4 linked regions of the Saccharomyces cerevisiae S288C genome follow. The gene in region 1 interacts genetically with each later gene. Each region holds a gene or a part of one and is shown on either strand. Other genes may lie near its edges. The genes, in order: MNR2, EMA35, PCK1 and DDI3.

What was found.
Region 2: mutations in MNR2 (region 1) and EMA35 together harm fitness more than expected from each alone (negative genetic interaction), as found in Saccharomyces cerevisiae (one large-scale study listed by BioGRID).
Region 3: mutations in MNR2 (region 1) and PCK1 together harm fitness more than expected from each alone (negative genetic interaction), as found in Saccharomyces cerevisiae (one large-scale study listed by BioGRID).
Region 4: mutations in MNR2 (region 1) and DDI3 together harm fitness more than expected from each alone (negative genetic interaction), as found in Saccharomyces cerevisiae (one large-scale study listed by BioGRID).

The regions. Positions count from the first base shown.
Region 1 is NC_001143.9:313,167-322,605, reverse strand, and holds MNR2 (putative Mg(2+) transporter MNR2), read right to left. Parts: upstream 4,843-9,439; coding exon 1,933-4,842; downstream 1-1,932. Other genes in the region: YKL063C (uncharacterized protein), read left to right, coding at 1,088-1,591; YET1 (Yet1p), read left to right, coding at 5,549-6,169; DPC7 (Dpc7p), read right to left, coding at 6,431-6,652; YNK1 (nucleoside diphosphate kinase), read right to left, coding at 7,333-7,794.
Region 2 is NC_001135.5:298,287-305,500, reverse strand, and holds EMA35 (Ema35p), read left to right. Parts: upstream 1-3,279; coding exon 3,280-4,230; downstream 4,231-7,214. Other genes in the region: YCR102C (uncharacterized protein), read left to right, coding at 34-1,140; YCR101C (uncharacterized protein), read left to right, coding at 2,471-3,019; YCR099C (uncharacterized protein), read left to right, coding at 4,202-4,669; GIT1 (Git1p), read left to right, coding at 6,896-7,214.
Region 3 is NC_001143.9:627,025-634,939, reverse strand, and holds PCK1 (phosphoenolpyruvate carboxykinase PCK1), read right to left. Parts: upstream 3,789-7,915; coding exon 2,139-3,788; downstream 1-2,138. Other genes in the region: ubiquitin-specific protease UBP11, read left to right, coding at 1-1,914; ESL2 (Esl2p), read right to left, coding at 4,560-7,915.
Region 4 is NC_001138.5:4,651-11,588, reverse strand, and holds DDI3 (cyanamide hydratase), read right to left. Parts: upstream 2,045-6,938; coding exon 1,367-2,044; downstream 1-1,366. Other genes in the region: pyridoxine biosynthesis protein SNZ3, read right to left, coding at 1-226; SNO3 (putative pyridoxal 5'-phosphate synthase), read left to right, coding at 620-1,288; COS4 (Cos4p), read right to left, coding at 4,024-5,163. UniProt on the Saccharomyces cerevisiae protein: Cyanamide hydratase involved in the detoxification and/or utilization of cyanamide, a toxic nitrile compound distributed widely in the environment.

The sequences.
Region 1 (9,439 bases):
GCTGCTGGCCCCACATAGAAATTGTTACGGATCCGTCCCCGCGCTCGTACTTTACAGCCAACCCCACCTTTTTCCCTTTTTCTTGGTGTGCGGTTGCCGTTCCTTCGAGGAACGGATCTTCGGGCTTTTTTTGCCGCGCTCAAAATGCCCCGGAGCGGCACTTTCTATGTATGTTTTTTTCTTTCATTTTATTATTTCCTAGTGCTGGCAAAATGATTGCTTGGAGCTCACAATACCTGTGAGGAGACCCCTTCCCCTTTTCTTTTCCCCTCCCCTGATTTCGGAAAATCAAAAAAATCGTTACGCTTGACAATTATTCCTTTTTGAGCGATTATTTTTCAAATTTCACAACTTCTTTGCCTTCAGAGGTCCTGGGTGCCTTACATCGTAGCATTTATGTTGCATCTTTTATCGAAAACATAGCTCTTTACGCGCTAAGGAAAGAAGTTGACAGCAGCTGGGTACACTAGGCAAGGTAGACGTTTTTATCAACTGTCTGTAGATAGATTCACTGCATCCTTATACTGCAAGAGATGAAAATTTTGAAAACCCTTCATCTTTTGCGGCTTTAAGCTTTCAATGAAATGTATGTTAAACAGTGCTTATCTCCTGTTTTTACGCGCAATAACGCCAGCGGCCTTGTTTTCCTCTCTTCTCCGTTTAGCGTTAGCCATTCGTTCAAATGAACGCTAAAAACATAAGGGCTACCCTTAAAAACTCCGCTATGAAGGCAAAAAATATAAACAGGGTAAGCACCTATATGTAATTTGGCACGACGTGAGCAATTTCATGTTGTGCAGCGGGATAGCAAGCTGTGCAGCGGGATAGCAAGCTGTGCAGTATTCTAACAAAAAAAAACACGAAGAAAAAGAAAAGAATAGCGAATTTCTCAGTGACAGTCTTCCAATCTTTCAGAAAGGCAAAAAAAGTGATTTCGTCATTAACATTAAGAGTTAGCACTTTACCAGAGTGCTATTGCCTTCCAACATACGTTCCTCCCCTCCAAAGTAGTAGTACTATATAGATAAAGCTAGGGTATTCTGAGCAAATATAAATCAAACTAAAGTGATTCATAATTATAGAAAATATGCAGGGCGATATCAGAAGGAAAAAAGATCTTTTACCTCGTTATAAAACAGGAAGCAAATATAATTCCAGAAGAAGGGGCGGTTATCTGACTACCCCTATGAAAAAGATTATAGTATACATTATACTGTTATGTGGCGTTTATTTCGTTATAAAAGTTGCCTATTCTGATCTGAATAAAGAAACTGAGATCAAGCTAGAAAGCCATTCTTCTGATGTTTCTGCAAGTGCAAGCGATCATACCAATATTGCAGCCGGCGGTGCAGCTGATGCGACTAACAATAAGCAACCACAACAAGCTAAAGTACCTAAAGAAAAGTTCAATAATGAAGTCGCAAAGCAACAAGAAGTAAAGAATTTGGAGAACGATTTGAAACCACAAATTGATTCAGAAAAGCAAAAACAAATAAACAAGGACAAAAAAGAACAAAAACAGCAACTCCAGAAAGAGAAACAAGATCTCGCCAAGGAAAATTTGGCTAACAATGAAATCCTTGATAATTAACCAATTCAAAACTTCCAACAGTTTGGTGATGAAAATAATAAATGTTTTACGTTAACCTTATTGATTAACCTCACCTCCCTTATTCTTTGTATAGTATAAGTGCATACTAACATACTGTGTACGTACATAAAGATATGCAGAACGTTCACAAACATGTAGAAACCAGACACGAAAAAAAAAAAAAAAAAAAACATAAATAGATTAAAGATATTTATCACCACAAGTATACGATACGGCGCTGATAATTTACAATTCTATCCTTCGGGAAAGACAACAATAATTTAGGCTGATAATTAAAATCGAAGGAAAAGCAAGCGCTAATGCGCGAAAAAACACTTAAATTAAAACCCGAATCTTCTCTTAGTATACATATATGCAGAACATGCTAGCATACACATAAAAAGCACAATGCCTATAAACCATGTCAACGAATCCCTGTATTGTCCGGGCACGATAACATTCATACCCCACAGACCCGTAATCACATTCATTGGCAGAACAATAGTACCCAGTATGGTAATTTTTCCCAAAACGTCGTTCATGTCATTATTAACCTTCGTCATATCAATGTTGATTTGTGCCAGATAATTTGAATGCGATCTACTTAACAGTTTTTCATAATGGTTTAGCGATGAGACCATGGTTACAATATGATCTTGAATATCACCCAAATACATTGCGATTTCAGATTGTGGCGAAGCTTCCCATTGCTCATTATACCTTTTGGCAAATCCTTTTATCACATCAGCCTTGGATCCTAGCAATCTTAGTATACTCATCACTCTTTTACGGCATTCACCAATCCGCCTCAACATATCTCCTTTTCTCTTCCAACCTATCAAATTTGCATTGAATGACGCTTCAGAAGTGCTCATACTTCTTGAACTCACACTAGATTTTGCACTAGAGTAGGACGTCTTTTTAGAATAGACATCGAACGGAAATGCATCCTCATCGCTAGCGCCCGAATCGGAATCACTATCGCTAGAATCGCTATCACTAGAATCATCTGACTGATGCATCTTCAAAATGGCGTCCTCAATCTCATAAACTTCATCTTCGATAAGTTCTATCATAGGGGCAAATGCGTCTGTAATGTCATCGATTAAGGCATACGCAATCCAATCAGAGGTAACATTAAGGTAATCCTTTAGTAGTCTTGCTCTTCTTCGAACATTAATAGGATGTGGTGTGGGAGCAAAATGAAACGTCAATACACCAGTTCTGAAAACAATAATGTAAACATTCAATGGCTCTAATTCTCCCTCACGTGGTTTGTGCCTGTCTCCTGATTTTCTTTTGAATTTTTCGTTCTCTTCCATCTTTTTCTTTTCGCTTTTGACACGGCGTTTATAGCTTGATGATGATGTATTGGTTGTTCTATTTGCAGATGACCGACGGCGTGCACGTAAAATCGATGGAAGCCATTTGCTCCTACTTGCATTGCTTGTACTGTTATTGTTATTTGCATTTGATTCATTTGACATAGTAGCACCATAGGCTTGTGATTTACGACGTGAAATACTTTCATGATCCAAGGTAGCAGATTCTTGCTTTTCTTTTCTCCTCCGACGAACATGCTTTTCTGCTACAATATCGAAACTTCTAAAACAAATCAGGTAATAATCTCTAAATAGTTCCACTTTCTCACGAACTTCTCCCAAAAAAATATCTTCTGTAGTTAAAGGGTGAATTCCGAAAGCTTTACTTAATATTTTCATCTCCTCTTCAGTAGGATTGCTGACATCCAACCAGAATGGAGGAACATCCTCTATATTTGCCACAGACATAGACGATAAAGTGGAAGGGTTTTTAGCTGTCAATCCCTGGAGTTGAGATACAGTTTCTGCTTTTATACCAGGTGTTGGAGAATTTGGATGTGTCTTGATATGACCAGCGCTATTATCTTGGGAGTATATAGAAGCGACAAATAAATCTTGAAATTTTTGACCAGGTTGCAGTAAACCAGATATTGTCGGAGAATGAACAGTAGAGTCCAAATCCACCCTAAAATAAGTGAACCTGAAATGTTCTGGGTTATTAGAAATAATATGCGGAGGATATTGAATATTTCTGCCGACTAGTAAGTTATCTTGTAATCCGCTTTGAATTCTTGATTTTGAGTCCTTGGTTGAATTGGACCCAAGGACCATTGGACGTTGAATCAAATGCCATGGCGCAATTCTTTTTGGCCTTAAACGGCCGTTCTTCAAATTCTCTGTTTCGTTTACCCTTCTGTTTCCCAATTCAGGGACATCAATATTAGTTACGATTGGCTTTGAAAAAAGAATTCCATCTTCATTTGATGTTCCATCTTCCTCATCTTCATCGTATTGGAAGTGGAAAGCTTCAGCATCTTGAATAGCTTGACTTCTTAGTCTCTCTGTTTCTTCCTTGGAAAATTCTTCCAAAACAGTACAATCAGGCCAAGCTTTTGGCACTTCGCTACCCTCATCATCAAGCACTAAACAAACGTCATCCAAAGAAGAGTTATTTGAAGAAAGACTAGAAGATGGCCTTGAGTTATACTCATCCTCTTCATCGTTTGAATCACTGGATGTGGATTTGGAATTTTTGTTGCTACTATCATCAGAACCCCTCTTTTTCTTTCTTCTCTTGCTGTTATCATTAACCCCAGTACTTGCATTGTTGTTAACATGGTTCATTAACGCATCAACATCAATCACGACATCATTATTCGCGTTCGATTGTCTCCTATCGGTGGGGGAGTTTTCGTCAACAAAACTCTTATGAACAGATTTCCTTCTCTTCAGCCATGATTCAAGCTCTGAAGGGGATAAGTCCGATACTAATGATCTATTCTGATCAGAGGGTCTTAACCCTGCGGGTTTCTTGTAACTTGGTGTTGAAAACTTCATTATTGGCTGTGGTTGAACTGTGCTTGATACACTTTGAGGCCCCTCCCTAGGTTGGCTCATTGAAGGTCTATGATCAATGAACGCGCCCTTGAGCGATGGATCCTCACTTTTTATTATATCATTACTTGTAGAATCAGATTCATGCAGCATGCCCCAGGAATCGATCTGGTCGAAATCAGTAATCTGGCCGTGATTGTGTTGCAGATTATCATGCAGCAGTTGCGTTGGCCTACGTGAGTCTGACTTCAAGTGACCAACAAACTTGTCCTTTCTTCTTTTTTGATTGCGCTTCTTTTTCCTTAGTTGAGGGCTACTAGAGTAAGGGGAAAGCAAAGGAACACCTTCATCCTTTTGTGAGTTATCAGTGCTCATTTTTAATCTTTTTCTTCTCTACACTTCTCACTTTTATTCTCTCAATTTACTGTCGAAGTAAGGGGATAAACTCAGTGTAGCAATACGTACAACTTAGTCATCAAATGAAAAAATGCGGACTACCAAACCAGAAAATGATGAATAGTTATACAAGTATACGATAGTACAAAAATATATTTAAAGGGCCAGGTACTACTAACGACAACCTGGGCTAGGTTTCACATATCAAAAAGAAGTTATGGCTTATGTGCTCTTTCTAAGTTTGACTTTATGCCAAAAATTTCTCCGTAGATCGCCGCCCGTTGAAGCAGCAGAATATTTTAAGTGCGCCATAAAAACCTAGATAGAAAAGAAGGGAGAGAACATAAACGCAGAACACCACTACTTTTAAGGCGTACGCAAACTGTTGGGCTTATCTATATTGTACTATCTACCTACTTGCAACGTCTTTTACCTCCTCGATACGTACTGCTTATGCCCTGAACAATTTACATGTAACCCGCAGCTGCATGCTATATCACAGGATACGTTAACATAAAGGGGGCGCTACTAAACCCTCTGGCGCAGTGCAAAAATAGAAATATATGCCAAGTGGGACCTTGTATAGTTTCTGGTTTAAAGCTATTCGTTCATTGCAACGCTCCTTTCTGCTATCCTTTCGCAAAGTGGCAAGTACTGAAAACCGAGAAGAATAAATAATATTGCGATGAGTTTATACTTTACGACATTATTTTTATTGCTCACTGTTGAGATGGTAATGCTCTTCATCTTCGTTTTGCCTTTGCCATTCCGGATCCGTAGGGGTATTTTTAGCACCTATAACCAATTGACAGCGAAGCAGCAAATAAAAACTATAATCTTTATAACGGGTTGTCTTGTTGGCCTGTTGTTTATTGATTCATGGAAAAGGTCTCAAATTCGTGTTTCATTATACCACAACGACAACAGTGGCTCAATCGGGTCATCTGCTGTAACTCCAATACAGGCACTAGCATCAAGAGCGTACAATCAAAGAAATATGTATATTTCCGGGTTCATATTGTACTTTTCTATCTGTATCCCAACTGTCATGTCTATTGTCAAGAGACTGGTGAAATACCAAGGCTTAATCAACGAACAAGAAAAGCAAAAATTGAACAAACCTTCCTCAAACAGCAAGAAAGACTCAAATGAAGCTGATTCCACCAAACTTCAAGAGGAACTAAGGAAAAAGCAAATTTCTCTGGAGGGCCTACAAAAGCAAGTCAAAAACCTGGAGAAATATTTTGATGAGAAGAATCAACCTGGAAATGTAGCAGCTGCTGAAGCTTCCAAGAAAGGAAACTAAATAGATATATTTATGTATAAATGTATATACGTGTTACCTCTGGTGCTCATACTTCTCTGGTCGCGACGCAATACGAAAATGCTACTGAAATAAAAAGCAAGCGATTAGATCAAATGAATATATGCATTATATGTTACCAACTTTATTTTTTTTGAATATAGACGAAAAAACGTTAGAGAAAGACATAAAAAAAAAAGATTGAGCTTCGTGACTCGGTTTACCATTCTGTGTTATATACGAAAACCCTTATATAACAACTTTTTAAATTTTTTTCTCATTTTGGTATATCTTTTTAATTTCACTATGTTTGCTATCGTTCTTATAAAACAAATAAAGTAGAACTGGAATCATAACACCCACAGAACCGACCATTAGTCTAGATGTTTGTTTCTTAGGATTAGACCCTATCACAGGCTCAAAATCCTTTGAGGATACATATCTCCTACTTGTCCGTTGTAATAATTTCAAAATATTAGATCTCATCATTTAAAAATGTAAGCTTTTTTTTACTTGAGTTTTTGTTGTCAGAGTTAGGTCCAAAGTCCCTAGAATAGTGTACGCGATAAAACTCAGCTGCAAGTCTAATATATACATTCCGCCAGAAATTTCAATTTGGGATCCCTGCATATTGCCAAATTTATTGGAGAAACTGTTAAACCTAAAAGAACGGTAGTAGCTCTATCAACTTAAGGGTTGGGCACCCTTAAATGTTTCATTCAATAGGGAGATCCATTTCAAGTTGCCTATTTACTTGTACCCCTACATAGTCCAAGGGCGATGAACTACCTATAATAATGCCGGTAGGCATGCTTCCGGATATTACAAGACTATTCGCTGAAACCGTATGAACATCGTACGTTCCGCGATTGTAATAGACCTTTGCCAACTTGTATTTTTCGATGATACTATAAAGTTCGGAAAGAAGAAGGAAGTGTGGCAATTTCACTGGGAGCCAAAAGCATTTGACATCAGGCGTCATTGAAGCGTCATTAAGTATTATAAATTCGTATATAAGGGTAGCAACATAAGTGGTATTTTTTTTATATAATCGTGCTCCTTCTAAAAAATTCATTATATTATTAGCTAGTGAGGGAACATGATATGAGCTGCCCAAAGCGAGAAAAAAAAGGCGCTCATATGTACCCTCCCATGCCATAAGTTATTCATTCATAAATCCACTTAGCTTGATTAGATTCCCAATCAACTAACTCTTCCTTCTTAAACCACAAATTGATTTCACGTTCAGCGCTATCAACAGAATCACTGCCGTGACAGACGTTTCTGCCTAGGTCAATACCGAAATCACCTCTAATGGTACCTGGTGCACTGCCCAAAGGATTAGTAGCACCAAGAATAGTTCTTCCTTGTCTAACCACATCTTTTCCCTCCCAGACCGTGGCCAAAATGGGACCAGACTTCATAAAGGATACCATCTTTGGGAAAAATGGTTTACCAACATGCTCTGCGTAATGTTGCTCTAGTAATTTATCATCCGCTTTAACTAATTTAATAGCAACTAGTTTGTAACCTTTTTTTTCAAAACGAGATAGAATTTGAGATACTAAGCCCCTCTGGACACCATCTGGTTTTACCGCAATAAAAGTTCTTTCTGTTTGACTAGACATTTTTCCAGGGATGATTTATGAGATGTTTTTCCGGAAAGAACCTGATAACTTGATAAAGTATTCTATAGATAACCTATTTCAAAATAAGAAAACGATATGAGCTAACGAAGTACTAAGTCTTTCACTTTATATAATCGGCTCTCCGAATTAAAGTACTTTTAAGGAGGAAAACTGGTCTTCATTTTCGAAGACACGAAACGAAGCGAATTACGCGCCTTTTTATTTGATGGACTTGCTCGCCAGCCCAATGGATACGAACAAAAATTAATTCAAAAAATAGGAAAAAATGAAGACTCAGTGGATTCTGATGTAATTGTTGGGATTCCATTGTGATTAAGGCTATAATATTAGGTATGTAGATATACTAGAAGTTCTCCTCAAGGATTTAGGAATCCATAAAAGGGAATCTGTAATTCTACACAATTCTATAAATATTATTATCATCGTTTTATATGTTAACATTCATTGATCCTATTACATTATCAATCCTTGCGTTTCAGCTTCCACTAATTTAGATGACTATTTCTCATCATTTGCGCCAGCTTCTAACACCGTATATGATAATATACTAGCAACGTAAATACTAGTTAGTAGATGATAGTTGATTTTTATTCCAACAAAAAAGTCAGACTGGACGCATTATAATGCTTACTCATCTACTTTTTTTGCTTTCACTTGCTAATTTCAATATGCTTTCTTGATGTTTCTTTCATTTGCTCTTTCATCAGACATTCTATATCGGTCACTTTTTTACTCGTAACTTTAAATGTGATAAATGGGGAAATGGAGTGGTACAAGCATTCGAGTATATTTAATTCTTTCCCTTCCTTTCATCGAGAAGGAAACTGCTATAAATTCACCATTACGGAAAGCTTATGTAACTACTCCCCTTTTGTTGGAATTGAACTCTAATATCATCTATTTAATATTATATTATCACATGCGGTGTGAGAAGATGACATAAAGATTGAGAAACAGTCATCCGATCTAATGGAAGCTGAAATGCAAGGATTGATAATGTAATAGGATAATGAATGACAACATATAAAAGGAAGGAAGATAAAATAATAACATTATGTAGAACTATCGATTCCCTTTTGTGGATTCCTATATCCTCGAGGAGAACTTCTAGTATATTCTGTATACCAATATTATAGCCTTTAGCAGCAATGGAATCCCAACAATTATCTAACAACTCACATATTTCTCCCCTTTATCAGTTCTACGTTGTAATGCTTCTTTACAGTCACCACTTGTAGGTTTAACATAAAAAAGCAAAGAGTACATAATATTTATTCAACCAGATGTGCAGATGTAACCAAAAACTTCACAGTTGTTTGCCATCTTAGTATAGTGGTTAGTACACATCGTTGTGGCCGATGAAACCCTGGTTCGATTCTAGGAGATGGCATTTTATTTTTTTCCTTTAGCCTTCATGGTCTGTCCGTTTTTATTTCATGAGACAACCTTTCTGCATCTGGCGATGCCACCAACCTTCATTGAAAAGAGGTCAATGTTCTTCTACAAAGGTTATAGAACCTCTTCATTTTTGTCTCCTCAAAATCCCATTCAAATGTGCCATGGCTGTTGATCAGGCATTTTCGGTCACACAATTACAATTAAGTATTTTTGTTTTCCGACAATT
Region 2 (7,214 bases), on another chromosome or scaffold:
CCTACAAACAGGCAAGTTGCAATTCCAGAAACCATGAAGGCTGTCGTCATTGAAGACGGTAAAGCGGTTGTCAAAGAGGGCGTTCCCATTCCTGAATTGGAAGAAGGATTCGTATTGATTAAGACACTCGCTGTTGCTGGTAACCCGACTGATTGGGCACACATTGACTACAAGGTCGGGCCTCAAGGATCTATTCTGGGATGTGACGCTGCCGGCCAAATTGTCAAATTGGGCCCAGCCGTCGATCCTAAAGACTTTTCTATTGGTGATTATATTTATGGGTTCATTCACGGATCTTCCGTAAGGTTTCCTTCCAATGGTGCTTTTGCTGAATATTCTGCTATTTCAACTGTGGTTGCCTACAAATCACCCAATGAACTCAAATTTTTGGGTGAAGATGTTCTACCTGCCGGCCCTGTCAGGTCTTTGGAAGGGGCAGCCACTATCCCAGTGTCACTGACCACAGCTGGCTTGGTGTTGACCTATAACTTGGGCTTGAACCTGAAGTGGGAGCCATCAACCCCACAAAGAAACGGCCCCATCTTATTATGGGGCGGTGCAACTGCAGTAGGTCAGTCGCTCATCCAATTAGCCAATAAATTGAATGGCTTCACCAAGATCATTGTTGTGGCTTCTCGGAAACACGAAAAACTGTTGAAAGAATATGGTGCTGATCAACTATTTGATTACCATGATATTGACGTGGTAGAACAAATTAAACACAAGTACAACAATATCTCGTATTTAGTCGACTGTGTCGCGAATCAAAATACGCTTCAACAAGTGTACAAATGTGCGGCCGATAAACAGGATGCTACCGTTGTCGAATTAACTAATTTGACAGAAGAAAACGTCAAAAAGGAGAATAGGAGGCAAAATGTCACTATTGACAGAACAAGACTGTATTCAATAGGCGGCCATGAAGTACCATTTGGTGGCATTACTTTCCCTGCTGACCCAGAAGCCAGGAGAGCTGCCACCGAATTCGTCAAGTTCATCAATCCAAAGATTAGTGATGGGCAAATTCACCATATTCCAGCAAGGGTCTATAAGAACGGGCTTTACGATGTTCCTCGTATCCTGGAAGACATTAAAATCGGTAAGAACTCTGGTGAAAAACTAGTTGCCGTATTAAACTAGATGACGAACAGATATTATTTTTCTTTTGTATACACAGTTATTACGTATGTTAGAGTGACTTGGTTTTTTTTTTTTTAATGAAATTGTTTGTTATTGATCACGCCTTGTAGGGGAAACAGATGAGAACAGTGAAAATCATAACTCATTATGTGATTTGTTGTGCGTCACCCTTCCATGATTATATATCCTTACTATCTACTATCCAACTACTACATATCTATTGAACTCATATGTACCAAGCACATAAAATTATGCACCTATTTCCATTGGCAAAGACTTGGCGAAATTTAATACACTGTAATAATATCCGGCGAAGCTCTTTAAGAATTCTTACCTATAATAGCGGCTCGCTGTCCGAACGATTGCGCCGCACTTTTCTGCCTCTTACATTCCCTTTTCCTAAGGCGATAAGCAGGCTGAATGGAAACTACGATATAACGCAGTAGAGGTCCCCCAAGAGCTGGAAAGAAAATATTGGTTTGATAGCCAGCACTATTCTATCCAGTGGGCTCTTGTACCATTTTCTGTGGTATGGCTTTGATTCAACTGCATACGTAGTTAACGCGATCAGCCGCACATGGGCATTATCATTTTCAGGGGTACTGGTAAACCCTATTGTTTAGAAAGAATACCTGGTAAGCGGGTCTGTCGAGTCTTTCCCACTAATTTTGAAGAAAAAATCTTTACCTAGTTTGAGAATAATCGTGGCGTTCGTAACATCACGAGGTGAGAGAGACCAGTTAGGTAAGGGTATGCCAATAAAAGGTTATTGATACTTCAACGAATCTTCATATTAAAAGTGCCTTCACCAGAATAAAATTCTAACGTCATCCTAAAAAGCATCAATTGGACATAGTGAGGGAAAGTTTTCACCATTTAAAATCTATTCTGCAGAATACCATTCTAGACTATGATCCCTTAAAGATTCCCATTCTTTAAATATACAAATCAGGTTCAACAGCGTATCTTTATGGTATTATCGTACTACTGGCGACATTAGCAAATCCAAGTATCCTAACTAGGTTTCTAGTCTTATCTCTTGGTTTTCTCCATTAGATGGTAAACACGTTACCTTGATGGCTGTACAGGAAGTGAACATGGTCAACTCAAAGTCACCGGACTCAAAATAATTGCAATTACCTAGACTGGATATTTTTAGAATATTATGAGAATATTTTTAGAATACTTGCAACCCAAAATATATTTAAATGCCGCCAATTTGCAACCAAAAGATTATCCGCTACCTTTTTTTTAGTCATTGAATTGTAGCATAAAGTTCCGAGCTTTGAAAAAAAACTTTGAACTAAGAAAAGGTAAGAGATCCTCAATTATGATATTACTTCATGCCATATATACTCTTTGGGTAATTATACTACTTCCGCTACTCAATGCAGAGAAATTTGTCCCAAAAGTAACGGAGGCTCCTATAGAAACATCATTTAATCTAGTGAGTTTTGATGATTCCAACACTTCTATCAGATTAGATGGTTGGGGGGTTGTATGGATAAGTTTCGACGCTGGAGAAAATTGGGAAACGGTCAAAGAAATTGAAGAGCGCATTTTCAGATTTACTGTTGATCCTTTCCATGGACAGGAAAGAGGTTTCGCTTTTATATGTGAATCACCCAAATTCTACATTACCGACGACCGTGGGGAGTCATGGAGGGCTTTAACTATACCCTCATCAGAAGAATATTTAGATGGCGACTGTTTTATAACTACTCATCCTAGAAACAAAGAACTTCTTATTGCGAATTGCTATAGCTATATGATAGACGCAGACGTTTTATATGACCCAAGTGAAATTTACTTGAGCAATGATGGGAATCCTTTTTTAAAATTAAACCTTCCTTGGAAAAGAAAAAAGACGACGATATAACAACTTAAAGCTGTCATTTCATTAAGTCTAGCAAGGATTCTGACTTTACTGGTAATGATACTTCGATACTCTGTTTGTTCTCTAACCGTGAATACGATGAAGAATATCGCTTAACTGCTACCTACACACAGTTGGCTTTCAGTAGTGATGGAGGCAAAACGTTTAAAGATTTTGATGAATTTAAAGATAAGATTGTTACTCAATACAAGATATTGAAGTCATATGTGGTCGTTTTAACGCAAGATGACGGGCATAACGAGATGTCATCTACGGACATCTGGATATCCAATGATGCATCTACTTTTCAAAAGGCACAGCTGCCTACTCAATTACGGCACGTCAAAGTGATTAAAATTCGTGAAGATTCTATCGGAAGGATCATCCTTCTTATATCGACAGAAATCACAAATGAGGAAAATGCTGATCCAGATCTCTCAGAGATTTTCATATCAGATTCGCAAGGGTTGAAATTCTCACCTGTTGAATGGACACCAAACCATCAGTTTGGAAATTTTAGGCTCACTTTTCCTGATTTCTTGAAAGGGACAATATTTGGATCGTTTCATCCTTCCATTGACTATTCTAATCACCAAGTAAACTATACTGAAAATATAGCCGGAGGAGAAACCAAAATATCCGTTGATAACGGCCTCACATGGTCAAATTTGAAAGTTGTTGATGAAGAAAATGCCGATTCGTTCGGCTGTGATATCACTAGGCCTGAGAGATGTTCACTTCAGGGTTATTTTTACAATCTAAAACTTTCAAATCCTTCTGCTGGGATCATATTAATGACAGGTTCTGTTGGCGATGACAATGAATTCGATCGGAAGGACCGAAAAACTTTCATTTCTAGAGACGGTGGTCTAACATGGAGGGTGGCCCATAATTCTTCTGGATTATATGCTACTGGTGATCTGGGAAATATTATTGTATATATCCCGTCTCCTTCATATAAAGATGGTGATGTACAATCCAAACTTTATTTTTCCTTGGACCAAGGTAGAACATGGAATCAATATGAGCTTGTTGACGCTTTATTTTATATCCATCCATTAGAGTTGATTAATACAACGCCAGATGGATCAGGCTCAAAATTTATTTTAAGCGGACATCTCATTACTACGGCTAGTCAAGAAGGAAACAACACCAACATCTCATATATTGCAAGAAGTGTCCTGTATGCGATCGATTTTTCTGCTGCATTTTGACTATAAAACGTGTGAAGAGGAAGATTTCGAAGACTGGAATTTGGCAGATGGGAAATGCCTTAATGGCGCCAAATACATGTATAAAAGGAGGAAACAGGACGCCCGTTGTTTGGTAAAAAGGACATTCAAAGATATGATTTTGCATGAAATACCTTGTGACAGTTGTACTGAATCCGACTACGAATGCTCTTCTGAATTTGTTAGAGATGCAAAGGGTGACTGTATACCAGATTATGATCAGATTGCCCTTTCCGATATATGTGACAAAGCTAATGGCGAAACTGTATCATTAGAGCCATTACAATTAATTAAAGGAGATAAATGCAAAAAGCCCATGGAAATTGAGGCCATGAACATTCCATGTGAAAAAATCCTGAGGGAGAGCTCGAATGGTAAGAAAATAGCAACCATTGAAAACAAGTTTGACTTTGAAATTTAATTTTATCAATATTTCGATACAGTTTTGGGTGAATCTTTTATCATGCTTAAGTCAATAGAAGATGCCTACATACCTCACGATATGATGAATAAACAGTAAAAATGTTCGACACTGACGACAAAAAATTGACACTATTCGGGACTGATGTCATATAGAAACATAAGGTCTTACTATTTCGTTAATTTATTATTGTGATATGTATTTACAGTGTAATATGAAGTTGTGTTTAAACTATATTTTAATTCCAGGGTTTATTTGTTTGGCTCTATGAGTAACATTTTCTCAACTCAAGACAGAGGATGCTTTTCTATGATGGCTAAATTGCCTGAAACCAGACAACTAGGCATGCCACCAGATTTTGGTGATGAAAAATTGTGAATCAACCTTAAATCCAGAACATAATAGTATACCTTACCAAAGATGGTGGCGGAACGTTTACATAAATGCTTGGTAATGCAGTTCATTCTGGGTTAGCGGGCTCATTTTTCAAAAATCCGTCAAATGGGGATATTTGCTGTATGCTAAGTAAAGGAAAAGTTTTCGCCATCAGACGACTTATATGAAAACGCCAACGAATTATCCAGTTTCACGAGTCAAGGCGGTAATTTTGAAATCGAACAAGAAGATGCTCACACGCCTGAACGAAACACATGTCACAGATAACCAAGACTGTCTCTAGCAACATTCCAGACGCATTGCGAGCTCGAAGTTCCGCTCAAAAGGTTGATTGGCAGCAGCACGCATCGAAGACAAGTGGGTAATCTTTTTTACGCATAATAAATGGCTGTGTCTATTTTTTATTAAGAGAAGTAAGCATAAGGATTTTCTCAATATTGTCCATTATCCGAGGCCTCCATTACCTTTGTATGAATATAATCGCCATGAATATAATCGCCATTGTAGTTCGCCAAGTGCCGCCTTTCTTTTCTTCTATCCTCTTATCTTCCGCTTATTGGCACAGGAAACGTAAAAATTAATAATCACCAGTTCCAGTCATTTTGAGTTATAATCGTTTACCCTCCCGACAAAGATAGTAGCTCGATTCAAGAACATGAATTTTACTAATATTCGTACTTTTTTAGTTTCTGCTACTATTAATCGGTTTTGAATCCTGTCTTCATTTTGTGAGGACAAAATTTAGTAGGTGTGTAAAGTGGTATTTAAGATTCGAGTCTGGGTGCACTAAACAATGATAGACTGATCAGTACATCTTCAATTTACTATATATAGATTTTTATTAGTATTTGTTTGCAACAATTCAACGGTTAGTGTATGTAGACTATTGAATATAACGAAGATAAACAAAAAGAAGGGGAGCGAAAAAGAATTGTCAACAAATGTTTATCGATATCTGCGATAAGGTTCTGCAAACAAATGCCGCTTACGAAAAGAATACAAAAATAAGAGAATACAAGGTTATCAGCCGTCGAAAAGCACATGCTATCGTGTCATCATTTCGTGAACTATACTTCTAATGGTGTCTGCACCACAAATACCATATACACATTAGAGCATGACGATGAGTACTTACTTTTCTTGACTGTACAGCCACAGATGTTGCAGTGCGTTTCAAAAGTTCCAGCCCCACGTTTTGCCAAGATAAATTAAAAAAAGAACGTGCATATGAATATGACAGTATTGAGCATAGTCTTTTTGACAGTATCCCCTAAATGCCAGAGTGTCCGCATGATTAATACTTTTCGCGGCGCACGTGCATGACGGTAAAGAAAGCAGAGAATCAAAAGAAGCAGCACGTAGTAATAGCGGCGTAGAATGTTGTACCCAACAGCAATGATGTTAGAATAATAGGGGTTATATGATTGGATCCTACGGTCTTCCGCGTTGCCGTTTGGTGCCACATTTATCTTCATATTCATGAATTTCCTTACTGGACCCCCACCTTAGCATGGATTGATTATATAGGCATATGGGCATTCCGTCCACTGTATCGTAGGATTATTTTCCAACATTAGTTAACTTAGTTCTCTGGTTAACCTAGTTTTTCAATCTGGCTATCTTAATTCTTTGATGAGGGACATCTGCTGGAAGACATCCAGAATGTGTCTGGATGAAGTAGGAAACTCGTGAATATATAAACCCCGATGAATGTAGTTGTAGCAGATGTTCGTTACAGTATTTATTATCTGTTTCTTGTGACTAGTCAACCAGCCGCAGACGTGAGTTGATCTTTTTGCTTATAATCAAAAAAATAGAATAGGATAAAAAATGGAAGACAAAGATATCACATCGGTAAATGAGAAGGAAGTGAACGAGAACACTAATCCTAGAATAATAAAATATGATGCCGAGAGGCGTGCAACCCGTACTGAAACCTCAAAGAAAGATAAATGGAAAAACATAGTTACAATCATTGCGTCCGGTTTTGCTCTGATAAGTGATGGTTACGTAAATGGTTCAATGAGTATGCTAAACAAGGTTTTTGTTATGGAGTACGGTAAGAAAAACTATAGCTCAAAAGTGTCGACTAGAGTTTCCAACGCAGCCCTAGTTGGTATTATTTTTGGCCAATTCTTTATGGGTATCG
Region 3 (7,915 bases), 310 kb from region 1:
ACAAGAAATAATCTCTACAGCAGTTACGCAAAGCTAAAAAACGACTATCAAGACGAACACGTGATGGGTTATGTGTTAAAAGTGGTAAGAGATGAAAGTACTGTTATTGTTGACCGGTATTTAGCGGAGTCAAACGGAATTTGCAGGACCATAAAAAGAAAAAGAGCCTACTCCTTACCGCTACGGCCTTTACCTGTTCATATGGCCTCTTTGTCAATACATAACAAGTTTGATGGCTCACTACATGAAATACCGAATGAGCTAACAAAACCAACAAATGATAATTCGAAAGAGGACATAGTCAGGGAAAGTAATCAGATAGCATCAAGTAATAAATTGGAAGCTGGTTCTGAAGTGGCGTACTACACAAGCAAAGAAGCATTATCAAAACCCTCGTATTTAAAACTCAGTACTGGAAAGGATGCATTATTCAAAACGCTGTCTAGTCCAGCAACTGCTCCCCCCGTGCACTCCTTGGAGGTTTCGTCACAAATCAGAGATTCTAGCCAAGATTCTTCATCCTCTTTATCCAAGGTGGAAAAGCCAAAGGAGGAAGAAGGAAAGATCGAGGCCATAGAATCTTCGGCCCCGAAAGCTTACAATCTACCAGTAATTGAAGATTCTAATGATCTGTTATCAGAGTTATCTATTACTGGCCTGCAAAATCCATGCAATACATGCTATATTAACAGTATAATTCAATGTCTGTTTGGCACTACCTTATTTCGGGATTTGTTTTTAACCAAGAAATATAGGCTATTCCTCAATACTAACAAATATCCGAAAGAAGTCCAACTTTCCCGCTCGATTTACGTTTTGTTCAAAAAAATGTATTTGAATGGAGGAAGAGCGATTATACCAAATAGATTCTTAAAAATGTGCAAGAAGTTAAGGCCAGATTTGAACATCCCAGATGATCAACAGGATACACAGGAATTTCTACTAATAGTTTTAGCACGAATACATGAAGAGCTCTCGAACGAAAATGTTGTCAAGTATTATCCAGATCTAGTGTCATATGATGCGAATGCTTTACAAGTTAACCCATCCAAATACGAGAAATGGTACGAGAGAAATGTTATTACTGATGGTTTATCTCCAATTGATCACATATATCGAGGGCAGTTGGAGAACATTTTGAAATGTCAGCGCTGTGGTAATTCTTCTTATAGCTATTCTACCTTCTATGTTCTGTCACTTGCGATTCCAAAACTATCATTGTATAGCTTTACAAGTAAGTCGAGAAAAATTAAATTAGAGGATTGCATAAACTTATTTACAGGCGATGAAGAACTGTCAGGCGACAATGCTTGGGATTGTCCTAATTGTAGAATTACTGATTCTAAATCCAAAAAAGAAGAAATTACTAGCCAGAAGAAAAAATCAACCATATTCGGTTTTCATTCCAGATCAAGGTCAAAATCACCCCACCATCATCACCATCATCACCATAGCAGCGATGATTCAACAAAAAATGCAAAGAAGCGAAATTCTAAAAAGTTAACCACGATTAAGAGTTTAGACTTTATAGTTTTACCTCCGATACTTGTCATTCATTTATCAAGGTTCTATTATGATTTAACAAAAAAAAACAGCACTGTAATAACCTACCCTTTGATATTGAACATTATTTTAAAGAACGGTAAAGTGATTCGATACAAGTTATATGGAACGGTGAATCATTCCGGTAACCTTATCAATGGACACTATACTTCTGTTGTGAACAAAGAAAAGAGCCATGAAATTGGACTGAATAGACAAGTTTGGGTTACATTTGATGACGATTATATACAGCAACATCGCAAGGATCGCAACAACTTTGAAGCCGGCAAAACAGAAATGTCTAGCGATGAGGTATACGTCTTATTCTACGAAAGAATGGATGAAGAGAACTATGAAGAAGAATTCTGTTAATTGCATCGGATTTTTGAATTTTCCTTATGTATATACATAAATATGTTTGAAAGATTAATTAGAAAAACATGTGCTTGTTGATCCAGTTTCAGTTATTAAAAAAAAGCTGAAATGGGAAGAGAAAAAATTGACAAAATAATATATTACGAACATTTATGATGTCGAAATAATTCTAATTCTTTTTTTTTTTTTTGGATTGAACATATCGAACGAACATGTTTCGTTTACTCGAATTGAGGACCAGCGGCTAATACATCTGGTGTGGCTCTGTCTTGATAAATCTTGAAATTTTGAACAAACAAGTTGGCCAAGTTGGTAACTGCACCTCTGTATTTGGATTCACCTTGAGACCAGTTTTTAGCAGGATTCAAAAGCTCAGCTGGAACACCGTTAACCTTGGTAGGTACTTGAAGATTGAAAATCGGTAAAGTTTCGTACGTTTCATTGGCTAACGAACCATCATGAATAGAATCCAGAATGGCCCTTGTGTACTTCAATGGGCAACGTTTACCACCAGATACGTAGGAAGAACCAGTCCAGCCGGTGTTGATTAAGTACGCATTAGCTTTATGTTGAGACATCTTTGTAGCTAACATGGTTGCGTATCTAATAGGGTGCAAGGCTAGGAAGGGTTGTCCGAAACAAGATGAAAATGTTGGTTCAGGTTCAGTGACACCTTGCTCAGTACCAGCCATTTTAGAAGTGTAACCAGAGATGAAATGGTACATGACTTGTTCAGGAGTCAATTTAGATACTGGTGGTAAAACACCCGAAGCATCACAAGTTAGCAGGATAATGTTCTTTGGATGAGAGTCCGCCAAACATGGAATCTTGGCACTTGGAATGTAGTCAATTGGGTAGGCACATCTAGTATTTTCAGTAATAGAAGAGTCGTCATAGTCGACTACATGCGACTTCTCGTCATAGATAACGTTTTCTAATACAGAACCAAACTTGATAGCGTCGAAAATTTCAGGCTCCTTTTCGGCAGATAAATTAATACACTTGGCGTAACAACCACCTTCGATATTGAAGACACCATGGTCGGACCAACAATGTTCATCATCGCCGATCAACAATCTATGTGGGTCTGCGGATAAAGTGGTTTTCCCGGTACCACTTAGGCCAAAGAATAAAGTAACGTCACCGTTTTGAATACCCTGGTTGGCGGAAGAGTGCAAAGTTAAAACGTTATGGTGCACAGGCATCAAGTAAAACATAACTGTGAAAATACCTTTTTTCATTTCACCGGCGTATTCGGTACCTAAAATGATCATTTCCATTGCTTTGAAGTTAATTTCTATAGTACTCTTTGAAGACATATCCTGGGTGTGTAAATTGGCTGGGAACTGACCAGCGTTCCAGACAGTAAAATCAGGTTCTCCAAAATGGGCTAATTCTTCTTCTGTAGGTCTAATAAGCATATTTGTCATGAATAAAGCGTGGTAAGCCCTGGCACAAACAACGCGGACTTTGATTCTGTATTTTGGATCCCATCCTGCAAATGCATCGACAATATAAATGTGGTCTCTTGTTCTCAAGTAATCTGCAGCTCTTTCACGGTTGATAGACCATGTTCTTTCAGAACATGGTTTATTGACCGGACCCCACCAAATTTCGTCTTTCGAGGTAGGTTCTTCAACAATACGTTTGTCCTTTGGAGATCTTCCGGTTTTAACACCGGAATAAGCGATCAATGCACCGCTTGATGAAATGACAGTTTTATTTTCTTTTAGACCATCTTCATACAAAACGGCAGCTGGAGCATTGCGTCTGATGGTGGTGACTTCGTCACTAAGAGCCAATTCTTGTCTGATTTTTTGTTCAACTTCGGAAGTAGATCCTACTGTAGCATTCATTTTAGAAGGGGACATGTTGTTATTTTATTATGGAATAATTAGTTGCGTGAGTTTGGTTTTTTTTTTTTATTTTTGAGTTAAACAAATATAATTATTGTTTAAGCTGAAATAAAGATATATATGTATATCTGGGAAAGGCTGTTGGTTATCTGTCTTACTTCTGTATATTTAAGAAGTAAGTAGAAATACTGATTACACATGGAAGAGAAGTTACACACATTACAAAGACTTCTCTGCCCTTATATACCTTTTTTTTGTGGTCTTCTATACTCTGCCCAATGTTGCTATCCCCAGCCAAGCCTTACTTAATACACAAACGTACCATTGTCCAACCAGAAGCGTCTAAGCTTTACAATCCTGTTTGGGCCCTTTATCCGCCTATCCATAATGTTAAGCAGCCTAAAACTTGCTAGTCTAGCCGGCATCTTTCCCTTGTATAACTTAAAATACCCGGAGCTTCAGTGATATGTAGAACACAGCCGCGCCGGATGAAAGGAAGCTCGGTTTTTTCCTATTGTGAGTCAAAAAAAGAAAAGAGATGTATCCAAATTAGGAAATCCAGATCTCCATTCACCCGTCAGCGTCCCGATATTCTCCGGTGGATCGTGTGGGATATTCCGATTTTTTCCGACAAGGCCCTGGGTGGGGGCTCTGCCCAAGTGCTCTGGTCAGAATTGTATGGAAGTCAGTTGGTTATATGCATATAAAAGTATATATTAAAATTAAAGTGTTATTTATGGCGGTGAGTAGAATTGGTGTTGTTGTAAATGTACGTACAACGAACGATCAGTCTGTACACAGATGGCGCTGTTCGCCAAGTTTTGTGCACAAAGAAAACACAAATCGTGTGCTTAGCGTTTTTATTTCTTTTTCTTCTGCTTTTTTCTTCATGGCGTCGTCGTCAGATATCAGAACTACGTAGTTAAAGCGGCGAGGGGAAAGACGCGGTTCGCTGGCACTCTCTAGTTTTTCTTGCGCCTTCATTACGGATTCGATGACAAACTCGTCGACATGTGTCCTCCATGTTATTTGTTCTTCAAATTCTAAGTTCTCTTCGATGTGTGTCGCTACATTACCTGTGAATCTTAGGGGTAATACTTTATTCTCATAGTAAAGCTGCCTTATAGTTATTATACCTCTTGTGGCAGCCTCCATGACGTTTTCGTCCTTTGACTTTCGTAAAAATCTCAGCTCTTGGAATGTGGTTAAACAAATGGCAAATCTTAGCAGTCTGTTTTGAGCTAGCTTGAATATGCGTGCGGAATGTCTTAGCCAAGAAGTTGCATCAAAGACAAAGTATGTAGTTTTAAAATCTATTTCTGGATAATCAGATTTTATACATTCCAGAAATAGACCTTCATTTTCCTTTTCGCTGTTATAATTGATGTTGTCCTCTATGTTAGTGTTGTTGCTGTTCGGGACATACCATGTAGTGTAAAGCGAGGCGCTTAAAAATTCTCCATTTTTATCGAAGCACGTATAATCGGCACGAAGTTTCTTGTAGCCAACATAGTGGAAGATATTATCGCCCTCGTTGACACTTAGTTCCGGCACAGCGTGCAGATCAGTGTTGTTTTCACTTCTTGCCTCAGATATGTCAATAATACTTTCCAGGGCACCTAATACTGGTATATTGTTGTGTATATTGCACAAGGGTTCGAGTTTGAAGACTAAACTTCCCAATATATTAGTATTTTGAAATGATGAACGATATATCAACGGATCGTTTCTGATTATTACGCCTATTGGAAAACTTCTTGACAGCTCTCTAAAAAGAAATATGGTTCTGCATGCCCTTTTCCAGAATTTTTCACCATTTTCGTCCTTTTCATCAAATATAATTCCATCTGTCGGCGAATCCAATGCCATATAATCTTTTATACCGATTTCTTGAAAATTATCTTCACTACTAATCGAATGCGTATTCTTTTCGCAAATTGTGTCAAACCACAATGTTCCCCAACAGCCCAAAATTTCTGGTAATTCTTCGCCTTCATTGAATAATTCTAAAAGTTCAGAAAGGCTTAATTTATCGTAGTCATCGCATAAATCTCCAATAATAGAGTTCGATGTTTGGTTATCCAATAAATACACAATCAAAACATTCATAAAGGTAACCATTGTATCCCATGGAAAAGCTCTCTTAACAATAATCATCCAGAATTCTTTACTAACTGGATCACTCAATTGGCTGCTTTTCAAACAAATTGAGATGATAAAGTATATCCATGGTAAGATATGGGGTAATGCGATACCTAAAGGCCCATGTAGAAACTTCCGAAGCACTATTATACCGCATTTTAATGAGGTCATATTTAGAAACTTTAATGTTTCCAACCATGCTTCGTTTGTTAGCATTGAAGGCAGTATCGGACGCCTTAAGGTATCGATGTCATTGAAGAATTCTGCTAAGAGATCGTGATCAGATATGGAAGTGGTAGAACTCATTATTTCATCGTCATCTTCGTTGTCATTTCGGCTATTGCCCGTTGAACTTTCCGTCACGGAGGAGTCATTATTTGAAGATTTTTTACGTTCCTTCTTGTCTTTCCTCTCCTTCAAATACTTCGGCAATTCAAATAAAATTGCAAATGGGTTTTTTGGCTCTCCAAATCCAACAATTTGTAAAATATGCGATTGTGCAAAAGAGGGGCCATGCCTGAAGAAATACTTGAAAAAATCAGGATTCTGAACAAACATATCTTCTGCGTTAAAAATGTTACAACCGTTTGCATCTATACCGAACTTTTCAATGAAATAGCTCAACACGACATTTTGTAAATCTGGACTTTCTAAAAAACTGGGTAATAGCATGGCTTCACTATGTTTCAAATACTCAATTAATAAAGAGTTTCTAAGATTGCCATTATTTCTTTCTACAAAGGCTCTTTGATAAATGTTATCAATAACCAATTGCATATATTGCGGAGACGGAGTGAATGTTTCCTGACAAAAGACGCTTTTCCCCAAATTTACAAAAGCTTCAAGAGTGTTTTGCTGTACGGTAGACATATGATAATATAGCTTTCCATGATTGTATATGTATTTCATCGCCTCAGTATACCAATGCTCAGCACTCAGTTTCCAATCGATAAAACTCGAGGGATATAGTGCTATAGCCATTCTTGATAAGTCTCCTAGTCTTTGTAACCAAGTGATAGAATATTTGGACGGTATGTCAGAAATCATAGTTGATAATGAAACAAAGACGTGAGTGATAAATTGGCAGCAAACTTCAGGATCCATGAAGTTAGAAAAGTTCTTTAGAACGTCTAGAAATGTTATCGTGCCGTAAACCCATAGCCTTCTTTCGATCCTATATATTTCGACAATTTCTTGGCCGATGACCAAATCGTGAGGCGGTTGGGATGGTAGTAAAGCTGTAGTGATAAAAGTGACATAATTGTTAACAAGATCTGTATTGATTTTATAGATAGTCCACAAGCTTTTTAGTTCGGTGGTTTGAGAGTTTGTTAGTTGTGAGCACCGCTCCTGCAATTCAATTTCTTGCTTAACTATCACTTTGTACAATTCTTGTAATTTTTGTATTAGAGCAATGCCCGATCTCTTATTACTTGCTGGCTTGCAGGAATCATTTTCTTCCCTTTCATTACTATCATCACTATTATTGTTATTATCACGGCTGTTGCTGTTATTGTTGTTGTTGTTGTCGTCGTTGTTATTATTGTTATTGTCATTGTTATTGCTACTGTGATTGTTATTATTGTTGTTGTTGCCACTGTTATTGAAATCCTGATCTCGGGCACTGTTATCCTTGTCGTTGATTTCTTGACTATTATTAGATTTACGCTGGAAACCGCCTACAATTTCACTCTTGGACTGTTCATCTGACCCTGCATCCACGAAAGCTAGCGAATTCTGTGAAACGTTCAGTGGTTTTATCATATTTTCCGGGCTCCATTTCTCATGTGCAATGCTTCCGCCGTTTTCACTAAATGATTTCGAAATCAATGCAGAGGATTGAGTAATTCCAACTGAGTTTTCCCTTTTCAGGGCCCTTTTCGAACTACTCACATATCTGGGAGAAGGATTTTTCTCTGATTCCTTGACTGTTGTTCTTTCTGGGTAAGTATGGTCATTATTTTTTCCTTCGATATCTGAAAATCTAGGTCTACTTATTC
Region 4 (6,938 bases), on another chromosome or scaffold:
TCACCGGAATTGAAACAGCTTCCATAATTTCTTTGATCATGCGAGGATCTGACATACGGCATACTTGGCCAGACTTGCGCATGTCAGCTGGAATGCGTTCCAATGCCATTACAGCACAAGCGCCCGCTCTTTCTGCGATAATAGCCTGTTCAGGTGTGACGACGTCCATAATCACACCGCCCTTTAACATTTGGGCAAGCCCAGTTTTAACCTTGAATTCTGACATTTTTGTCTTTTTTACGATATACTTATTTTTCTATTATAGTTCCTTTCCCAGAAGGGTCGAATAATAATGTGACTATGGTGGAGAAACATACTAGTTTTATATATGTGTGTGTGTGTGTGTGAAATTCATTCCACATGAACAAATAATTCTGCTCTTTCCTTGCCACAACATTTTGCCATTCAAACGATATAATGTGCCTACTACTGTTATGCCATTGGGCGGCGCGTCACTTTATTGGAAACTGTAAGAATAGTTGAGCCATCTTTCATCATTCAGCTACAAAAAAAAAAAAAAGTTATTCATTGATAAAAGCCCATTTTTTTCTGTTTGAGTAGCAAGCACACTTACCATGACCCTGGTTGCTGGGGCCAAGACAAGAGTAATATCTCAAAAATGACCGTCGTTATCGGAGTCTTGGCATTACAGGGTGCGTTCATTGAACATGTGCGACACGTAGAAAAATGCATCGTCGAAAACAGGGATTTCTATGAAAAAAAACTATCTGTGATGACAGTGAAGGATAAAAATCAACTAGCTCAATGTGATGCATTGATCATACCTGGGGGAGAGTCGACTGCAATGTCCCTTATTGCAGAAAGAACAGGATTTTACGACGATCTCTACGCATTCGTACACAACCCAAGCAAGGTAACCTGGGGTACTTGTGCAGGTTTGATTTATATTTCACAACAATTATCTAACGAAGCAAAACTGGTCAAGACGCTGAATTTACTAAAGGTTAAAGTAAAAAGAAATGCATTTGGGAGACAAGCTCAGTCTTCTACCCGGATTTGCGACTTTTCAAACTTTATTCCTCACTGCAATGATTTTCCTGCTACTTTTATAAGAGCCCCAGTAATAGAAGAGGTGCTGGATCCTGAACATGTGCAGGTCCTGTACAAATTAGATGGGAAGGATAATGGTGGTCAAGAACTAATTGTTGCCGCTAAGCAAAAAAACAATATTCTTGCGACATCATTTCATCCGGAATTGGCAGAAAACGATATACGGTTTCACGACTGGTTCATCAGAGAATTTGTTCTTAAAAACTACAGTAAATAAAAGGGACGTATAGTATAGTTATGGAGAAAGGAGATCATCACTGTTCATTCTGAACTCGCCTCATTGAAACTTACCTATTTAGTTATACCCAAATGTATTGCATATGACTTTCTTTGAAAAATCATCACCCAAAGAACTGGTGTGGCCCCACGGTTTTCTCGAGTTTTCAGTGTCCACCACCGTAGCAAAACATGATAACCAGTGCAGTCTTGGAAATTGCTCGTTAATGGCACTAACTGTATCGATATGAATCAGATCGGTATTGGATCCGACATTGTCAAGCGTAGTAGCAATCTGCAGAATGAGCCCCAAGGTGGTAATGTAGCCAGTCCCAGTCAAATCCTGGTGACGAATGATGGCCTCAGTTACTGCATCTGCATAGTCCTGATTTCCACCTGTCGCATTAAATACAAGCTCCCTTGAAAGTATGCCACCATAATACTCAAATGACATCTTCGTGGCTCTCATATTCTTATCTGTTGTTGCAATATCATGAAGTAAGCAGGTGACGTACAAAACTTCCTGATCCAAGTCCCATGCTGGAAATTGGTCTCTTATGATAGCTACACTATATTGAAAAACACGCAAAGAGTGGTTTAGAACGGGGGCAGTCAATTCTTTAGCGGCATATTCCCGAACAAGCCTAGCAGTTTCACTGTTTGGAGGCGGAACAACGGCCCGTGGTCTAGGTGCATTCACCACTGGAATGGCCTTTTCTACCTCTCTAGGAACTCTTACAAATCCGTACTGTGACATGATTGATTCTTTTGAAGAGAAGCAAGGCAAAAAACAGTACGAAGCAACTTCATGTTAACAGAAGAAGAAGGAAACTAACCCATTTATATATAATTTTATGAGGGGACCGATCCTAAAAAGTTATTTGTAAAGCTCGTACAAGATTGATTGATGACTTCCCGACAAACTATTGTGCGGTGGAGTATTTTGTATTATAGAAATGATAGTGTCCATGCACTTTAATAAGATCTTTTTTGCGGACATTTGTTTCGGGGCCGTCCAAAGTTGTTTGATGGTATAACTCCGCATATTTGACATCTTTCTCTTTTAAACCAGTATCAGTTAGTCTTTTGCAATTTTCTTGAGGGATTCAGTCTAGAAAGTTGATTTTCATTGCTGTTAAGATAAAAATTCCTTCTAACCCAGCTTGTACTCCGTATACTTTCAATGCTCTCAAAAAGATATGGATACTAGTTAGTTTAGACCCTGTAGTTTCACCAGCTGCTAGTATTCAACGTTCATGCGACTTCTATAAAGGAGTGCTTGGCTTTGATGTTACAACATTCGGGAACTATCGCAGGGCTCTGTCTTTTTTTGGAGTCAGAAAAATCAATTTGCATGAGGTGGGAAAGGAATTTGAGCCCAAGGCACAGAAGCCAACTCTCGGATCTGTCGATCTGTGTTTTATCTTAGAGGATCCTTTGAATAACAGTTACCCATCTTGAAAGCTTGGATTTTCCAATTGAAGAGGGCACTGTAATCCGTACAGGCGCAGTCAACCCTATTATCAGTATACATCCGTGATTAAGATGAAAGTGTGATGGAAATATCAAATAGAATAAAAGAAACGGAATAGAGCTATTTTTTTTTTATATTATAGACATAGTCTAAGCGAGTTTAACCTTTGAAATATAAAAAAAAAAAACAAAAGGAAAAAAGTAGTATGTGGGCTGCACTAAACTAAAACCGTGAGGTATTTAGATATATATTCTACATTGTTTTACGTTATAGCATGTATAAACATACAAATACATACTGTGAGATGATTGTGGTATGACACAGTGTGTAATAGAGGAAGTGAAGAATGCCAAGAGCAGTTTTTTTATCTATTTTCTGCGAATTTTCTTATGTCGGAAGTTATTCTCGGATAATATGCGGCTGCGCTAAAAATAGTTTATCGCATGCGTAAATCAGGGACCAATTTATAATGCTATAATGGACGTCGCAGTGCAGGAACTACTTGATTTTTTTTTTTTTTTTTAATTTTTTTCTTTCTATAGCTAGTCACACAGCCATTACCACCCAAAATTAAACTGTTTTATGTATGTTTAGTCACCAAATTATCAAAAGAGCATGATTTTTCTCCTGAGCACTTCAAAATGAAATTTGAAATCTTACCAAGCCCTCAATATAAACCAATATTTCAAGAAAGCTAGAGACATTGCAAATATTTTGCTCATTCAAACATATAGCTAAGGCAAAGGGATACTAAAACTCAGCAACTTGATGAAAGTTCGAAAATAACTGGCAGTGTATCTATAAAAGCTTCACTGTGGGAATGCAGTGTCCATCCAGTATTCAGCACAGGTTTTCCTAAGCCTTCTGTACATCCCTTCATTTAACAGTAAATGTGGAAAACAAGAAGGGTAATTGTGAAAGAGTCCGATTGTAGTTGATGAACAGTAAAATCACTTATTATTTAAGGATTCCGCTGCGGTATGCGTTTTCTACTGATGCGTGGAGCAAGCCACGCCATGTGATTAACCTTGCTTGATAAAAACACCAACCCATCGTTCAGAATATGCATGGAATACAGCATCTCTAGGAGGAGAAAGACAATAAGTTTTGCGCATATGGTAGGATGATAGCACACTGATTTCTGTCAACCAGTGAGAAATAGGGAAAAAGAGAATGGTTGTAATCGTAAAAAGTAGTCTCGTTTTGGTTATTCGCAGCTGACAAACTACAAAATATATAAATTGAAAAAGTTGTATTTATCTTTACGCTAAGGACTCCTCACTGCAGGATAATTGCGCTTCTTTAATATATGGCCATAGTTCCACATTCAATGATAGAGCCCGCATAGATTTCTTCGCAGATAGAACGCGGTAGAAGAAGTGGCTAAAAAACCATTCACAGTCAATCCCGTCAAAGAAAAACTCTTCATTCTTCCAGACTTTTTTCTCAAACAAGTACCTATTCATTTTCCTTGCAATTTCGTCCCATCCATTCGCACCACTTTCTTGCTCATTTATAATAGTCGACAAGAACTGCATCTTGTGTTCCATGCTCATAATCAAAACCCTTATATTTTGGAAACCTTGTACCAACATGAAAAGAATCCACCCGAGATACAAGGTGCGTAATAGAAGGCACATTCCCCGTGACACATATATGCAGCACAAAAAATTAAGGAATGGTATCAACATAAAAATATTGGAAATCCTCTTTAAAAACCAAGTAAGCTTAAATCGGTAAGCTTCCTTGGGAAGTTTAGCATCTTCCAGGCCAACAGGGCTCCATGATTTCTCAGAATTAAACAACTTCCATTGTTTTTCAACTTCTCTAAAATAAACTCCCAATGCTTCTTCAATGTAAGGGACGGAATCCTTAAATGACTTAACCTTGGCAGCTTCGTCTTTTTTCAAAGAGAAGGGTTCGAGAAGGGTTGTTCTGAACGCTTCTTGGCAGCCCATGGCATTGAAGAAAAAGTACCTAATATTCCAAGCCTTATTTTCATATAAGTACGAATTTAGATTTGCTGCAACAACTTCCCAATCATGAGGATCCGAACTTGGTGTGCTTTTAGTAATCTCTTTGCAAAACTGAGTGAGTTGTTTCGATAAGGAACGTTTACGAGAAAGTCTAAAAATAACAAGAACAAATACTGGTCCCCAAAACAGGACAAGAAGTGAAACCATAAGCGGGTAAATCCAATTGTTGGAAAGCTTCCACCAGACGCTAAGTGGTAGCCATAATAGCATCCAGATGCGAAACGCTAAGGACTTGTAAATTTCATAACAAAACCAGGTAAAGCTGCTTCTGAAAAGATCTTGAGGTAGAACAATCTTTTGAGATTCGAGCTGTTTGAAAGATAATACATCTACACTTTTCTCATTTTTAAGTTCATTTTCTTTCATTTTCGGTAATGAGATGGCAGTTCGAGGGGTTTTTTATTCGAGATAGTAACTTCTGGCTTTTCGCTTTTATAGAGTAGAAAAAAAAGCCGCCGAGGCGCGCGCGTTCATGCAATGGCTCAGTAACCTCGTGATAGAAAAAGGGCAACAATGTTGGGCTATTTTAGGCACAGAAACTCTACTATTCGAAAAGGGAGTCCATTTCATTTCCGGTTTTCTATCTAAGTTACTCGATAATCGTAATAATACTTTTACAAAGCTTTGTATGAGGGTACATCACGGTGTGCCGTAACTTTGGTTTACATTTAAGGTGCGACCAGCAATGTCACTGTTCGCACAGCAGTTGTTACCCAAAATGAAACGTATATTTTAAGCGTAGATTGCCTGTGACAAAAATGTGTAAATATCTAATAGAAAATAGACGTAGCTGTCACAAATATTTACACAGGAAAGAGTCTGTCCTACGAGTATCTTACATGAAGATTCATAGAACCAATTTATTTCCCTATATTGATAACCTTTCAATACCATTTTTTCTCCTTATGTTTGATGTCACTGTAAAAAGGCTCAAAGCAAAACTTAGAGGTACGGTGGTGCTAAGATCATGCATGACCTCTGGGTAATTACTACTTCTCCCGCTTGCTTTGAGATTCTGTATATAAATGTTTCAAACAAAAGGATAGAGCACGGATGGGAGGCCTTATAGTAAAAATTATTCGTTTTAATCATGCGTCAGTGTGCGATTCTATGACAATAGTATGAGAAGATAGGGTGAAGTAAAAGCGTCTGTATGACTATAGAGTACAGTTATATTACAATATATGGAATAGAGCATAGTGGTATGACGGTATTAAGGAACATTTAAGTTAATGACCTCATGGTGGTATTGATACGCAATTGAGTGTGTTTATGTATTATTGTTGAAGGATAGAATATTTTTATGTTTAGGTGATTTTAGTGGTGATTTTTTTGTAATATTGGCATAAGTGTATATAAATTGAGTGGTTAGTATACGGTGAAAAAGAGGTATAACGTATGTATTAAGGGCATTTATACAATATTTGGGGCCGCGGAATAAGATATAAATATTAAAATGTGGATAATAGTGGGAGTTATGCGTAAATGGCACAGGGTATAGACCGCTGAGGCAAGTGCCGTGCATAATGATGTGGGTGCATTTGTACTCATGAAGTGAGAGATGGGCCATGGAGTGGAATGTGAAAGTAGGGTAAGTTGAGATAGTATATACTATTGTAGCATCCGTGTGCGTATGCCGTATCAGTATACAAGTGATGGTGAGTATGACAGATGGGGCATGGTAGGGTATTGGCAGGGTAAGTATGTGTGCATTGTTTACGATCATTTGTTAACGTTTCAATATGGAGGGTAGAACAACAGTACAGTGAGTAGGACATGGTGGATGGTAGGGTAATGGCAGGGTAAGTGGCAGTGAGGTTGGATATGGGTAATTGGAGGGTAACTGTTATGGTGGATTTGTGGGTTGGTGGTGGGGAGGCAGGGTAACGAGTGGGGAGGCAGGGTAATGGAGGGTAAGTTGAGAGACAGGATGGAAGGGTTGGATTAGGGTAGGGTTGAGGTAGTATTAGGGTGTGGGTGTGGTGTGTGGGTGTGGGTGTGGTGGGTGTGGTGTGGGTGTGGTGTGGTGTGGGTGTGGTGTGTGGGTGTGGTGTGGGTGTGGTGTGTGGGTGTGGGTGTGTGGGTGTGGTGTGTGTGGGTGTGTGGGTATATATATGTCACTGTATTGCATGCTGGATGGT